Alligator mississippiensis: one gene and its partner. The protein of the gene in region 2 purifies or fractionates together with the protein of the main gene of each other region. This does not show direct contact. Links are inferred from orthologs where the notes say so. Each region holds a gene or a part of one and is shown on either strand. Other genes may lie near its edges.

Evidence for each region. The genes of interacting proteins can lie anywhere in the genome.
Region 1: the proteins of CUL1 (region 2) and COPS7A purify together in Homo sapiens (affinity purification with western blotting; 5 studies listed by BioGRID and IntAct, with this or other methods). This does not show direct contact. The link is inferred for Alligator mississippiensis from reciprocal best matches to the Homo sapiens genes CUL1 and COPS7A.

The regions. Positions count from the first base shown.
Region 1 is NC_081824.1:243,714,309-243,721,587, reverse strand, and holds the start of COPS7A (COP9 signalosome complex subunit 7a), read right to left. Parts: upstream 3,012-7,279; 5' UTR 2,936-3,011; exon of another isoform or gene 2,860-2,935; 5' UTR 2,793-2,859; coding exon 2,631-2,792; intron 1-2,630.
Region 2 is NC_081828.1:117,827,582-117,835,208, forward strand, and holds the start of CUL1 (cullin-1), read right to left. Parts: upstream 3,011-7,627; 5' UTR 2,932-3,010; intron 1-2,931. UniProt on the Homo sapiens protein: Core component of multiple cullin-RING-based SCF (SKP1-CUL1-F-box protein) E3 ubiquitin-protein ligase complexes, which mediate the ubiquitination of proteins involved in cell cycle progression, signal transduction and transcription.

The DNA.
Region 1 (7,279 bases), on a different chromosome or scaffold from region 2:
GAGGCTCTGGCAGGAAGATCACTGGGGACTGTGGGGCCACTTTCCTTTCCCTAGTGAGATCCTAAGTCTACAAGAAAAGAGGCAAAACTGAACACAGTACTCCAGATGTAGCCTCACCAGTGCTGAATAGAGGAGAATGATCACTGCCCTTTACCTGGCAACACACCTACCAATGCAACCCAGTATGCCGTTAGCCTTGACAACAAGGGCACACTGCTGACTCATATTCAGCTTATTGTCCACTGTGACCCCTCAGGTCTTTTTCTGCAGAGCTGCTGCCCAGCCAGCCAGCCCCCAGCCTGTGCTGGTGTATGGGATTGTTCCATCCTAAGTGCAGGACTTTGCACTTGTCCTTGTTGAACCTCATTAGATTTCATTTGGCTCAATCCTACAATTAGTGTCTACGTCACTCTGAATCCAAGCCCTATGCTCCAATGTATCTACTACTCCCCCCAGCTTGGTGTTATCTGCAAACTTGCTGAGGGTACACTCTATGCTATCTTCCAGGTCGTTGACGAAGACATTGAACAAAACTGGCCCTAGGACCAACCCCTGGGGCACACTACCTGATACCAGGTTCCAACTAAACATAGAGCCATTGATTAGATACTATCTGAGCCCAATGCTCTCGCCAGTTTTCTATCCACCTCACAGTCCATTCATCCAGCCCATACTTCCTTAGTTTGCCTGCGAGAATGCTGTGGGAGACCGTATCAAAAGCCTTGCTAAAATCAAAGTACGCCACGTCCGCCGGTGTCCCTGCATCCACAGAGCCAGTCACCTTGTCATAGAAGGCAATCAGGTTGGTTAGGCATGACTTGCCCTTGGTGAATCCATGCTGCCTGTTCCTAATAATCACCTTCTTTTCCTCCGAGTGCTCAGAAATGGATTTCTTGAGGATCTGTTCCATGATTTTTCCAGGGACTGAGGTGAGGCTGACTGGTTTGTAGTTCCCTGGATCCTCCTTTTTCCCTTTTCTTAAATATGGGCACTATGTTTGCCCTTTTCCAATCATCTGGGACCTGTCCTGATCGCCATGAGTTTTCAAAGATGATGTCCAATTCCACCAGCCAACTCCCTCAGCACCCTCAGGTACATCCCATCTGGCCCCATGGACTTGTACACGTCCAGCTTTTCTAAGCAGTCCCTAACCTGTTCTTTCACCACTGTTGTCTGCTCACCTCCTCCCCAAACTGTGCTGCCTAGTGTAGTAGTCTGGGAGCTGACCTTGCCTGTGAAGACTGAGGCAAAAAAGGCACTGAGCACTTCAGCCTTTTCTGCATCCTCTGTCACCAGGTTGCCTCCCGCATTCAGTAAGGGACTCACACTTCCCCTGATCCTCCTCTTGCTACCGACATACTTGTAGAAACCCTTCTTGTTACCCTTCATGTCCCTTGCTAGCTGCAACTCCAATTGTATTTTGGCCTTCCTGATTTCATCTCTGCATGGATATTCATGTCTCCAGGCAGAGTTCTACTGGCTCCATGGACTCATATGAGGGCACTGGCCTGTGTACTCTGCTTGGTGTCCTCCCTTGATGGACTTATTATGAACCAATAGCCCTCACTCCTGTCCCAGTTTTGTTTTTATTTGTCCCAAGTAATCAGTGATATGCTCTTAATGGCCCTCATCACCAGGGGATGGCTTATAGCTCTCCTTGATGGGCTTTAGCCCATGTTTCCGGAATGGCACATCAAAAGGCCTGTGTCACAGAGGAGAGGGGCTTACAGTGTTTCCTTGTGCGTGTAAGCCCACACTTCCTCATGGCATAACAAATGGGCCTGCCACACAAGGAAACACTGTAAGCCCCCCTCCTCAGTGACACAGGTCTTTTGATATGCCTTTCTGGAACATGGGCTAAAGCCCATTAAGGAGAGCTATAAGCTATGAGAGAGTTCTTTCTGCGCTTACCTGTTAGAATCAGAACTTCCTAGACCTTAATGCTGGAGGTTGCAGTGGATGGGGTGGAGGCACCCTGGTAATACCCAGTTTACTCCCCCCTAGCAGCTTCCAGCATTAAGGTCTAGGATGTATGGATTCTAACAGGTAAGCATAGAAAGAACTCTCTCACAAGGAGGGTGGTGAAGCACTGGAACAGGTAACTCAGAGAGGTTGTGGACTCTCCGTCCTTGGAGGTTTTTAAAACCCAGCTAGACAAAGCCTTGGCTAAAATGATCTAGCTGAGGATGGTCCTGCTTTGAGCAGGGGGTTGGACTAGATGCCCTCTCAACCCTCACTTTTTATGATCCTATGACTATGACAAGAGAAACGATTGAAGCAGACAGTGGCAAGTAGGAAGGTTCATAAACAGAACATCCAGCAGGGGGGCTAGTGCACAGTGGTCCTCCCTCCCATGCCCAGGGCCAGGGCCATGGATTGCAATGCTTGGTTTGTAAGAACTGGGTAGACAAAGCCTTGGCTGGGATGATCTGACTTTGAGCAGGGGTTAGACTAGATGACCTGAGGTACCTTCCAGCCCCCATCCTCCGTGATCCTGTACCCGGGGCCAGGAAGGCACACTGCCCAGGCACTGTGCAGGGCCAGCCCGTCGGGCCCTTTCCCAAGGGGCAATCAAAGCCCTGGGGTGCAAGCTCCGGCGGGCTCCCCGGGGCCGGGAGGAGGACGCTCACCTCCCGCACGTTAGGCAGGTCCAGCAGCTCCCCGAAGACGTAGATGCCGGGCGCGTCCAGCACCTGGTGGATGAGGCTGGCCAGGGCGGCGCCGCGGGAGGACTTGGCGAGCAGCAGGAACTGCTCCTGGCTCTGCCCCGTCACCTTCATCTCCGCTGCCATGCTGCTGCGAGCGCCCCGCCCCACCGCGCCGGCCCGGCCCAGGCCACGGCCGCGGCACGTCAGCGAGCTGCAGGGACAAGCAGCGCGGGTAGCCGAGGCGGTCCCGCCCGCCGCGCCGCGCCGCGCCACGCCACGCCACCTACCTGGGGACCCCTCCCTGGGCAGCACGAGCGCTCGGTCCCCGGCACTACCCCTCCCCCTTCTCTAGGGTCCGCCCCTTCCAGGAGCGACCACTTCCGGGTTGGTGACATCACGCGAGGCCTCTTACCCCAGCTCTTCTGCGCATTGGTTCCAGACAGGCGTGGTCCCGTCCCCGCCGCTCTCCCATTGGTGGGGCCGGCCCGCTGAGTAACATTGCCCGCACCCATGGAGTGTGGTCTGGGAGGGTTGGCTGCGTTATGCTGTTCTGTGAAGGTGGCTGGTGCGCAGAGCTGCCTAGGCCGGTGGCGCTGTGTAGGCTTTAGCTTGCCCTGAAAGTGACCTGGAGGCTCACTTCCCTCCTGGGGGTAGCCGTGGTGCCGAGCCTTGGGGGTGCTGCTGAGGGTAGTGCCCATCGCCTGGGGGCAATTTTGCCCCCTTCTTCTCTGCTCATGTCGCCAGACTCCCTCAGCCTAAGATGCCTGCTTGCAGGATGTGGTCCCAGAGCAGTTCGGGGCGCTGAGCGCCACAGCTGGAACTCAAGTGTGTGGGGGTGTCTGTCCTAAGCTCTGCCCGTTTAAGGCCTGTGGGGCTCTGTCACGGCTCTCCATGCCCGGACCTGGAAGTGGAAGCCAGTGGTCCTTTACACTAGAGATTTTACTTCAAGGCAGTCCTGTTGCAGGTAATGGCCATAAAAGCCAGTATAGAAATCCCTTTTCCTCAAACATGGCCTTGGACAACAGTTTTTTAACACATTGTAATCCTAACCTATGAGGGCAGGCTGTACTCTACCTGCTAGGTCTGGTCTACAAGAAGTAGTTTTGTGGGCAGAAGTCAGGTCAATAATCAGATGGCAGGCCCACTTAACAGCAAAAGATGCAAAGGTTAGGGCAGTAGATAGCTGAAAAGAAAGAACAAGTCAGAGGTAACTTAGACAAAGTGGATGTTTTCAAATCAGCTGGGCAAGATGAGATGCATCCTAGAGTACTGTACTTAAGGACTTGACTGAGGTCACTGCAGAGCTGCTGCCTATTATTGATGAGATCTGATAACATCCCTAATATGCATAAAGAGTTTTGAATCAGCAGACATGGAAAATTTGCATTCAAAAGTCCTAAAATAATATGCTGTAGTATTTTGCTGGCCTGCTGAGGTGTTTGAAGACTGGAAAACGGAAAATATCTTTATATTTTATATACCTCATCTTTATATAAAAAAAAAATAAAAATGAGCAAGCGGGACCTAGGAAATTACAGACCAATCAATCTAACTCTGATATCTGGAAAGATACTTGAGCATAACATATTTCTAAGCACCTAGAGGATAACAAGGAGATAAGGAACAGCGAACCTGGCTTCGTCAAGAGCAAGTCATGCTTAACCAACCTGATTTCATTCTATGGCAAAGCAACAGGTTCTGAAGGTGGTGGGAGAGCAGTGGATGTAATTTACCTCTAATTTAGCAAAGCTTTTGATGTTGCCTCCCATGATATTCTCATTAGTAAGCAAGAAAATGCAGTCTAAATGAAACTACTGGAAGGTGAGTGCATAAAAGGTTGGATGGTTGTGCTCAAAGAGTAGTCATCAATGATTCACTGGGGGAAGATATCAAGTGGAGTTCTCCAGGGGTCTATCTTGGGTCCAGTATTGCTCACTATGTTCTTTGGAGGATAGAATTGAGTGCATACTTACCACATTTGCAGATGACACCAAGCTGAGTGGGGTAGCAAACCCTTTAGAGGAAAAGATGAGGACTCAAAATGGCCTTGATAAATAAGAAAAATAGCCTGAAATAATTGAGATTAAATTTGAGCAGACAGGTGTAAAGTAGTGCACTTAAGAAGGAACAATCAAATGCACAGATACAAAATGGGGAGTGACTGGCTACACTACTATACTTCAGAAGTAGAGGCCTAGAGGTTATAGTGGACCACAAGCTGAATGAGTTAGCGGTCTCATACAGTTGCAAAAAACACTAATAGCATACTGGGTATCATATGCAAGTCATGAGAAGAGATTCTACTACTTTCAGCACTGGTGAGGCCTCAGCTGGCATACTGTGTCCAGTTTAGGGTACAGCACTTCAAGAAAGACATGGGCAACTTAAAAAAATAAAATTAAAATAACAAAAAGGATTAGAGGTCTAGGACATATGACATACAAGGAAAGGTTGGAAGAACTAGGATTACTCAGTCTGGAGATGAGAAGTCTGAGCGCAGTTTTGATAACATCTCACATACATGAATGAATGCTGTTAATGCTGTGGCAGGGGGTCAGGCTAGATGATCTGTTTAGGTCCTTCCTGACCCTAGCTACTATGAAACTATGAAACAAAAAGGGTTGTTTTAAAGAAGATGGTGACTAACTGTTCTCTGCATCCATAAGAGACAGGACAAAAAGTAATAAGCTTAAATTGCAACAAGTGACATTTAGGTTGCATAATACAAAGCACTTTCTAACTCTGGGGGTGGTTAAGCATTGAGGCTGTGGAATAGAGTGTTAATCACTAGAAGTGTTTAAGTGCAGGTCAAGCAAACATTTGTTTGAGATAGTTTAGATAGAGATGACTCTGCCTAGAATAGAGGGCTGAACTAAGTGGCTTTCTTAAGGTCCCATCCAGCCCTATTTTTCTATGTAGCAGGAGTCAGAGCAGCAAACAATTGCTCCCAGCTGACTCTAGTTTCATAGATGTTAGGGTCGGAAGGGACCTCAATAGATCATGGAGTCGGACCCCCTTACCAAGGGCCTGGCTGCCAATGACCTAAATACTCCCAGGTGGTCCCAGTTGCCTATGTAGGCATGGCTGTCTGCTTATAAGTAAAAGCTCAACCTGATCTTATGAGGCTATCTAATAGAATAGATGCTTCTTTAGGTGTAGACAGAAATAATAATTTTTACCCCATCTGGTCCCTGAAAGCACTCTACAGTTGTGACCAAATACAAGTCCACAGCTGCAGAGTGCTTTAAAAGGGCCCGATCTCATGGTAATCTGACACTGCATGAGGGTTCAGCTGAAGGTGCTCCAAAATAGAGTGCCTTCAGTAACTTGTGTCTGTGCATGCTGGCAGCAGGGCTGGGCTGATGCAGTTTAGCCCTACTCCCAGTGCTATCTTTAGAACAGGAGGGAAGGAAAGGAGCAGAGGGAGCTCGGTTTGGGGTTTTTTTCAGCTGGCACTGGAGGGTGGTCTGGGTGGACTGGAGCCCCCCTGAGGTGGGGGGGAGCTCCAATCCACCTGCCCCACCCTCCAGTGCCAGCTGGGCACCCCCCAGAATGAGCTCTCTTCGCTACCTTTTCCTCCCTCCCATTCTGAAAAGAGCACTGGGTCTGGGCTGGGGCTTGCTAGAGGAGAGCGGCTGCAGGCTTGCGGGAGCTGGATCCCTCAACCACCAGGATACAACAGTGAACATATGTTGGGTCTGTGGGATTGTAACACAAAGAGCTTCCTGCAAAATGCCATGAGTTGCAACAGGGAACTGCTCTTCTGTCTGCACCTTATGTTTTAGCTTTGGACTGCTAACAACTTGTTTTGAGTTTCCTGGCCCCTACCTGTTTGTTAGCATTTTGGGTCCTGCTGATTGGCTCTGTGATTTTATCCTTGTTCTTGCCTGCTGAATCTTTGTTCTAGGGTCTAGCTCTGACTCCTCTGTCTCCAGACTGTCTTGCTGGCTCCTTGATCCATGTGCTTCTAGACCAGGGGCAGGCAATTATTTCGGGTGGAGGACTGCTTACTGAGTTTTGGTAAGCCATCGAGGGCCACATGACAGGCAGCCAGGGGCAGATAAATATTTATTTTCTTATTTTTGGGGGGGGCCTGCAGGCTGGATAGAATGGCCTGGCGGGCTTCATCCAGCCCCCGGGCTGTATTTTGCCCACCCCTGTCCTCTGACAGCTGGCTTCTGTCTCATGGCTCAGTTTGACAATCACCCATGCCCAGTCCTGTATAGCTATATCTGTCTGCTCTGGACCCTGTGGCTAGTGACACTGGTCTGGATTCCTCCTTCCTGCTCCTGACTCTCCCTCCAGCTTGTGGCTCCACCCAGGGTGACTGCCTACATCACAGTCCCTTACAGGCCTACATCCCAGTTGTAATCCTGACACTATAATTCTATGCAAATATTTACCCCACCAAGAACTATACTGAAGAACCTGAAGAAAATGAATTTAATCCAAGAGAAGAAAATGAATTTAATCCAAAAGACACAAAGCAATTATTAGGTAAGACTGACTCTGAGATCCCACCAAACCAGTGTGGCAGACTAGGACCAGTGCCTTAGCAATGAGAAGCCTCAGAGGCCATCTCCCAAGTCCCCTGAGCTAATCCCCTTCTATTTTGGACTGACTTGGAAAGT
Region 2 (7,627 bases):
TGGTGGAGGCTGAGTTCATGGCAACTTAACTTCTATGCAACTTTACCCTGTTCATAGCAGATCTAGTCTGCAGTGGTAAAAGCCCTCAGCTGTCAATCCGTACTAGCTCTCCCACCAGAAATGCAACACAACAGTGAGAAGTTAAGAAAGAAACTTTGCACAGACAACTTCTTAATCAAACCTATAATTGTTGTCTCCAATCACCATTTGTTGCTGTTCATCTTATCTTTAAAATATACTGTAGTAACTTAACAGCTAATAGAGCTTTGTCCCTGCCAGAAGCCTTTGCCATCTTTCTGAAACTAGTTCTCACATTCTTAAAATGCAGAAGTGTCTTCCATAACAAAGCTGATTATTGGTTTGCTGGCTGTCCTTCTTTCAAGCTCTGTATAGCAACAGATTGCACAAGTACATTGCCCTACATGTTGCAGATGCATATCCTCCAAGCATTCCCTGCCACTGTAGCACGGTATCTATCCCCCAGAAAGATTTTCCCCCAGATTGAAACCAATACAACATGGTGAATAAAGAATTACAAACATGGCTGTGACAGCAGAAATCTGAATATATCCAAACTTTGCTGTATTATTTGTGATACAGTTAATGTAGTCTCGCCTGTATATAGCTGCACACTCAGTTAAAAGTTGCAGTATAGACACTGTTTTAGCCTCCATCTGTAAAAGGAAAAGCATTCTTGCTCACAACTTTTGTCAGACATAGTTGCATTGGCCTCATAATGCATCTTTTCTACTGACATTTACGGTAACTTGTACAGGAGACGGAAATGTTTTTAATATTACCGAAAAATGTAAGTGACTTGATAATTAAACTAACAGGTCCGCTGCCACATAAGCCACTTCCAGTGGAAGCCAACCTGAGTTCAGGTGGACTCAAGCTAGTTAACCACTGCCACTGATGAGTCATTTCCCTCAAAGACCAGGCCTCTTAAAGCTCCATGTTCTCAAATCTACAATCTGGCACCTGAGAACTATAAAAAAAGAAAAAAAGGACAAACATTAAATAGAACAGAGTGAGTTTCAAATGAAAAGACTATATTATTCTACAGAACTGTATTTCAAATGACATAGAAGTGACTTGGACAATTACAGACAAACTGTAACCACTCTGAATGAATTCAAATCAATTTAAACTAAATCCAGCTATCAAACCAAAGCATCCTCATGAAGGAATCTGACAACTGAGCAAAATCCGTTTTCAAAGTTTTAAGTTGAACTTCCTAGAAATACATAAGTTACATGCGTACGCTCTATGAGCTATGAGAGAGTGAGTAAACTAGAAACATGGTGATTTAGTTAAACCAGGGCAACTGGATGTAGACCCACGCGGAAACTACTTAGCGTTAATCCAATGGGACATTATCTGACTGCAATATTCAAATATGGCAGGTCTTTTGTAGCAAGCATCAACAAAATTAACACCAACAACATAAGGCAACTAACAAAGGACAAAAGGGCCAAGATGGGAACTAAACACTACTGGAAAAATAAGAGACCTCCCAGATCAGAACAGAAAGATACCACTGTGGAGCAAAGTAATACAACTGCTGCACGATCGGTACTCAAAATCTGTAGGGGTGAAATTCACCCAAGAGAAGACCACAAACAGTGTGACCCTACCACAACCTTGGTTGGACTATGTGATCTCTTGAGGTCCCTTCTGGCCTTACTTTTCTATGAAATACATCTCCTCCTTTCCTAAAAATAAAACCACAAAAATGCCCCAAACAACTTGCCCTCCTTATAGATCACCAATTCACAATGCAGCAATGGAAACAAAGCTCCCTGCTTCTACTCTGAACTAAGCCCATCCCCCAGCATTTTCAAAAGAGCAGAGCTTATTAAAGCACTTGGCAGAACAAATAGTTAGTCCCAGGTAGACAGCGTGAGAAAACAAGAGATGGGGAAGAAGTGGGGGGGGGGGGGGGGGGGGGGGGGCAGAGGGGACCTCTACCTGTAGACACAGATTTAGGATGAGGTTTAATGGTAGGTTATGATCAAAGAATGAACGAGTCAAGCTGGGAACAGAGTGATTTAGTTGAACCAGAGCAACTGGCTGTAGACCAGTTCTGAAACTGCCTGGCATTCATGCCTGGGCCACTACATACACTGCTTCAATCTGTCTGCAATCTTCAAATACTCTCAGTCTCGTGTAGCAAGCATCCACACAACACCAACAACCTCTGGCAAGTGAAGTGACAAGACAGGAACTAGAGGCTGCTGGAAAAATACGAGGCCTCTCAATTCCTAATGGGAAGAGGCAACTAGGAAATAATGAAGCTAAGGAAATGCGTGCCTGGTCCAGCCCCCCCGCCCACCACCCTCAGTGCCAAGGGTGAAGTCTGGCAGGGCTAACTACAAAGCTGTGCTACCCCAGGACCCCCATCTGTCCTCCACACCGCGCAGCTGAGCGGTCGGAGACTCAAGTTGGGGGCACCTGGAAGCGCGGCCTGGAAGGAGGCACTGGGAAGGGTTTAAGGAGCAGGGCAGAGGGAGAAAAAGCCTGAACCACCGAGGCCAAGAGCTGCTGGGGTCCAACCCCAGGGAGGGGGAAGGCGCGGGTCGGGGCAGAGGCCGGGGAAGGAGTATGTGAGGGGACGAGCAAGGTGATGGGAGGAGAAATACCGGGGCGGGGGAGTGGGGAAGTGCGCAGCTCCCGGGGGCCGGAGGAGCCTGGGCCACGCCGGGTGTCACCAGGGCCGTAGGGGGACCCGCAAGGCCCAGCCAGGAGCCGCAGGGGGCGGCGCGGGCCTGCGAGGCGGGCAGAGGCCGCAGCGCGGATCGCGGCCCCGGGCCCATCCCCAGCCCGGCGGCAACGGCGGCCCCGCGCGGCACAAAGAGCCGCCGCCACCGCAGGCCTCGCTGCGCCACAGCCGGCCCCGGGCCGGGCCCCGCCGCGCCGCGCCGCACTCACCAGCATCGCGCGTCCCGCAGAGTCAGGCCCGCGCCACGGCCGCCCGCCCCTTCCGGCTCCGCCGGGCCCGGATCTGCCGCCGCCTCCTGGCACCGCCTCTCGCCCGCCCCGCCCCGCCCCGCCCGCCCCTGAGCCGCGAGCCTCGAGCCGCGGAGGGGCGATAGTATGTCCCGCAGCCCTGCACGGCCACGACGGCGACCACGACCCACCTCGGCGCCACACGCACGGGGGAGCCTCGAGCCGCCTGGGTGGGACTCAGCAAGTGAGGGTGGAAGCGAGCCTCGGGGACATCTAGGCCAAGCCCTGCCCAGGGCACGGCTGTCCCCAGCCGGGGCTTTGCTACCTGCGTCTTCACCCCCACTCCCGAGGATGGAGATTTCACCCCCGGTCTGGGCAGCTTGGTCCAGTGCTTTCCCACCCTCCTCCTGAGGGAGTTTTCCCTAATATCCAACCTAAACTTCCCTTGCTGCAACTTGAGCCCCTTGCTCCATCCGAGAACAGTCCTGCTCCGTCCTCCTTGCACCCCCTTCAGGCAGTTGAAGGCTGCTGTGAAATCCCCTCAGTCCTCTCTTCCCCAGTCTAAGCCCAGGCCCCTTGGCCTTCCCCAAGGGCACCTGGCTGGGGGCGGAGGTTACACATAAACCAGTATAAAGTACGATCAGAAACTGTCTCAAACGTAATGCGACAAAGCCAGATACAGACATTACACGTTTACCCATATTAAAGAGTGGAAACTGGTCTATACCCATAACAGACGGTAGGCACACACAACCAGTCTAGACCTGTAACAGAACAGAGGTTCAGCATGCACAGACTAGTTAAAAAATAGCAGAACCCGGTCTAAAATTTGCCCTCCTGCCACCAAAGAGTGAATGTGTGTTGTGTTCACCGCCCACCTAATCTAGGCTGCTTGCAGAAAACCACACAACTTAAATTGACTCTACATCAGACTTTCTGAATGTCTGCACCTAGTCCAGAAGTTCCGGGCACATAAACCACTTCCAGAATGGCCGAAACTGGTTTAAGATGAACCAGATGAAGTATCAGACCTAACTGATTTAGGTTACATTGATTTACTAAATGTCCATCCCAGATCCGCTCCAAATTCAAGATAACTCAGTCCCCAGGATCCTTTTCCCCTCCCCTGCACGCCCCCTTCGCAGGGTGGGCCGACTAGCCTTGGCCCAAGCTGTCTTCTCCAAGCAAGGAAGGGTGCTCCGGTGCCTGCCAGCTTCTGGCACGCGGCTGTATTCTTGAATCAGAAGTGAATGTCTGTTCACTTGCTTATCGGTTCACTTGCTTAAACTAACTTGCAAAGATTGAATCAATTCAGCCTAGGGCCTTTTGACTGTCTGTACTTAGCCAATTGAGTCCAAAAAGGTTGATAGCTCCTGCCTTAGAAGCAGCGAAGCCCGGTAAAGACACTTGTTCCTCTCTCGGCCACAGAGCAAGTGGAAAAAGTGCCCATCTTTTCCTCAGTTTATTATTTTGAGGGCCCTAAGAGGTGAGGAGGATGGAGCGAGGGATGGTTGCCGTGTTAGGCAGACAGACCTATTTGTTACACCATTGCAGAAGCCGCTAAGTAAAATTATAAGCCTTCCTTAAAAAGGAGGCCACTGAGGACATAGCAGTTGATTCCTTGGGACAACTGAAAGAAAAACAGGGAAAGGAGTGAGGGGCATAGGTTTATAACGAGTGCACAAAGTGGGGATACCAAACAGAGCACACAAGTCCAAGGAGCCAGCAGACACTGCCCAGTGAAATCTGCCTGGAGATGTGAATGGATGAAAGAGCGGGAAGCGGCCGCAGTATTGGACAGACAGGAGTCACTGTTACAGCAGAGAGGCAACAGAGAACAGGCCTGGTGCCCTCAGGCAGTGATGCTCAACCCTTTCATCAGGTGGGCCAGATAGGCAGGGTCTGGTCCATCCATGGGCCAGATTGGCTGCTGGTCCCAATCTTGTGCCCTCAGCAGATGGAGTGGGCCCAATCTGGCCACACAGAGGGAAGCGGGGGAACAGCCCGGCCCCAACCCAACCCTGCAGAAGAGGACTTGACTTGGCCCCGCAGTGGGTATAAGGAAACTGAACCCAGCCCCAACCCAGCCCTGTGGGGGTCTGAAGGGGGCTTGACCCTGCCCACACCAGCCCCATGGGGTGGCACCAGGAGGGAGCATGGCCTCGCCCCAATCCAGGTGTGGGGGACAGGGGGCATGGCCTGTCTTCAACCTGCCACATGGGTTTTGGCCATTTGGCAGCTGGGAGGTGGCTGCATTAATAGCTGCCCTGCAGCTCCTCTGCACTGCTGCCACTACGTTGCTGGGCGGCCCAGTAACAGCAGTGAAAAGGAGTTGCAGGGCAGCCTGGGCACGGGCTCTGGGTGGCTGTAACAAGAAGGACCCAGCCATGGCAAAGGGGAGGGACTGCTTTTCCCATATGCCGAGCAGCAGCTTCTGCCCAGCCACTGCTGCTGCTCAGCATGGGCAGGTGGTCAGGAGCAGGCATGCAGTGGGTCTTGTTTGGGGCTGTGCACGTGGGCTCCAGGTGGTCTGCTTCAGCCGGGGCAAGTCTGGAGCAAGTGTGTGGCGGGTTGGGGTTGGAGCTATGTGCTATTAGCAGTGGTGACAAAAAGCTGTGGGGCATGCAGGCTCCGGGCTGTTGTGGGGTAGGGGGTGCTGACTGGCCCAGGGGGGTACATGTGTGGGGAGGGGGGGGGAGGAGGGCTCCCATGTACACCCCACCATACGTACACACCCTCCATCACATTCCCCCACAAAGCCCACAATCCCATGCTCCCCCACACACAACCACACCCCCCACAAACACCACACCCTCCCCCATACTCCTTCCCCACACCCCCCTGCAAATCCCACACCCATCTACCCACATTCCCCCCACAAACCCCACACCCACTCACATGTAGCCACACTCATTAAGAGTGAACAAAACTCATTAACAGTCCCTCCAGCAAAAATAATTGCCCACCCCTGCTGTAGGTAGTATTCTCCCCTGTATGTCAAGCCCCAGCATTGTGAAGAGGTCATCACACTAATAGAGAAAGAGAGCTTTCAATATTCCCAATGGAAGTGACATAGGAGTATGTATCTTACTGTACTAGGAGCATCCTGACAAAATTCCAGTTAAAGTAATTGTGTTTGGATTACTTCCTTCACCAGCCATTTAAATTGCTATCATGTTCTTCTCTTATTAGCATGATTATGAAATGGCCACATCATCAGTGGATGCAGTTTCAATAACTCTGTTTTAGGCTAACCTACACATTTTGTGATAGCTGTACAAGACAGTTATTTTAGATGTAAATGCAGTGCTGTAGCGAGTGCCGCAGTGGGGTGACTGCTCCAGACATGGAAGTGAAGGGGCACCAACAGGCGCTGCCCAGCCAGGACAGGGCATGGGATGGAGCTGCAAGCAGCTTGTTTGGCAGGGCGTGGGGATGGAAGAAGGGCTGCTGTTACACCTCAGCTCTGTATTCTTGGGCAACCCTGGCACAGGATGCAGTCTGTCTGACTCACAAAGGACCCCCCCCCCCACCCCCTCCCTCCCCTCCTCTACATAAACGAAACTGATTAAGATGCAGTGAGAGACGCACCTAAAACTCTCCAGGTAAGGGTGATAAGAGTGAAACAACTGCCCTAGGTCTCATTTACATCCGAGATGGAACCAGATGACCATTCATTTACATGAGAGATGGAAAACAGAAAGCCTGAAGCAGAGACTGCAGTGAATTCTGGGACCAGAGAAGCAGGAGAGCGCTGCATGATGGGGAATCTGTGCTTCCAATGTTAATTAACCCATGTTCACACACACCCAGCTCAGCATTTATCAGACCAGTTCTAATCTGGATTTGCTAAGGACTTTTCTCCCCCCAGACACACACACACAGCTCTAAGTTTAATAGGCATCTCGGGCCATACATTCCCCGGTCCCACTATGGGAGGCCTATTTAAACTTGATTGACTAAAACTCGGTTGCCGGGTTAGGGAATGCTGAGGCAAGAGACCAAGTCCGAGGGGGTATGGGCAACATTGGAACAATGGTTAAGGGTTCATCACAGCATCCAGCCTGCTGGAGCCCTAATCCCAGGTGTTGTCGTATCTTTCCCGAGACGACTGGTGGGAGTCCTCTCCACAAAAGGTTATGAGCACCCCAATAATTGCTTTAAGTCTGTTAAAAGACTATAGTAAAATCTGGAAAAGTCATGCTAAGCTGAGGCTTGTGCACAACAAGTAAAAATCCAAAATCCTGATACTGCAAGCTATCTATTGTTCCTGAAGAAACCATGAGATATCCCATCAGGATATCTGCCATCCATAGGAATCTCAAGCTGGCTCCCAAGTATTTGGGTTACTCCCTAATCTTAAGTGTTTCCTGATTATCAATCAGTTTCCTGAGATGGTCCAAACCAGATAACCCCTTGTCAATAGAAAAGACAATGATTTACACTACTGAGGGTGCTTCGAAGCAGCTGAACTGAGGGTATAAAAATCTGTAAGTGTGTGTGCTTCAAAAAGAAAGAAGTAGAAGAAGGAGGAAAAGAAGGAGAAGAAGAAAGAAGAAGAAAACCCCTGTGCTGACACCATCCCCTGTCGTTCTTGGGACGCTGGAAGAACAGATCATCTCTCTCTTCAAGGATTGTGCTACGGACTGTGCCTGTCAGCTTTGCAGCTTGAGTACCG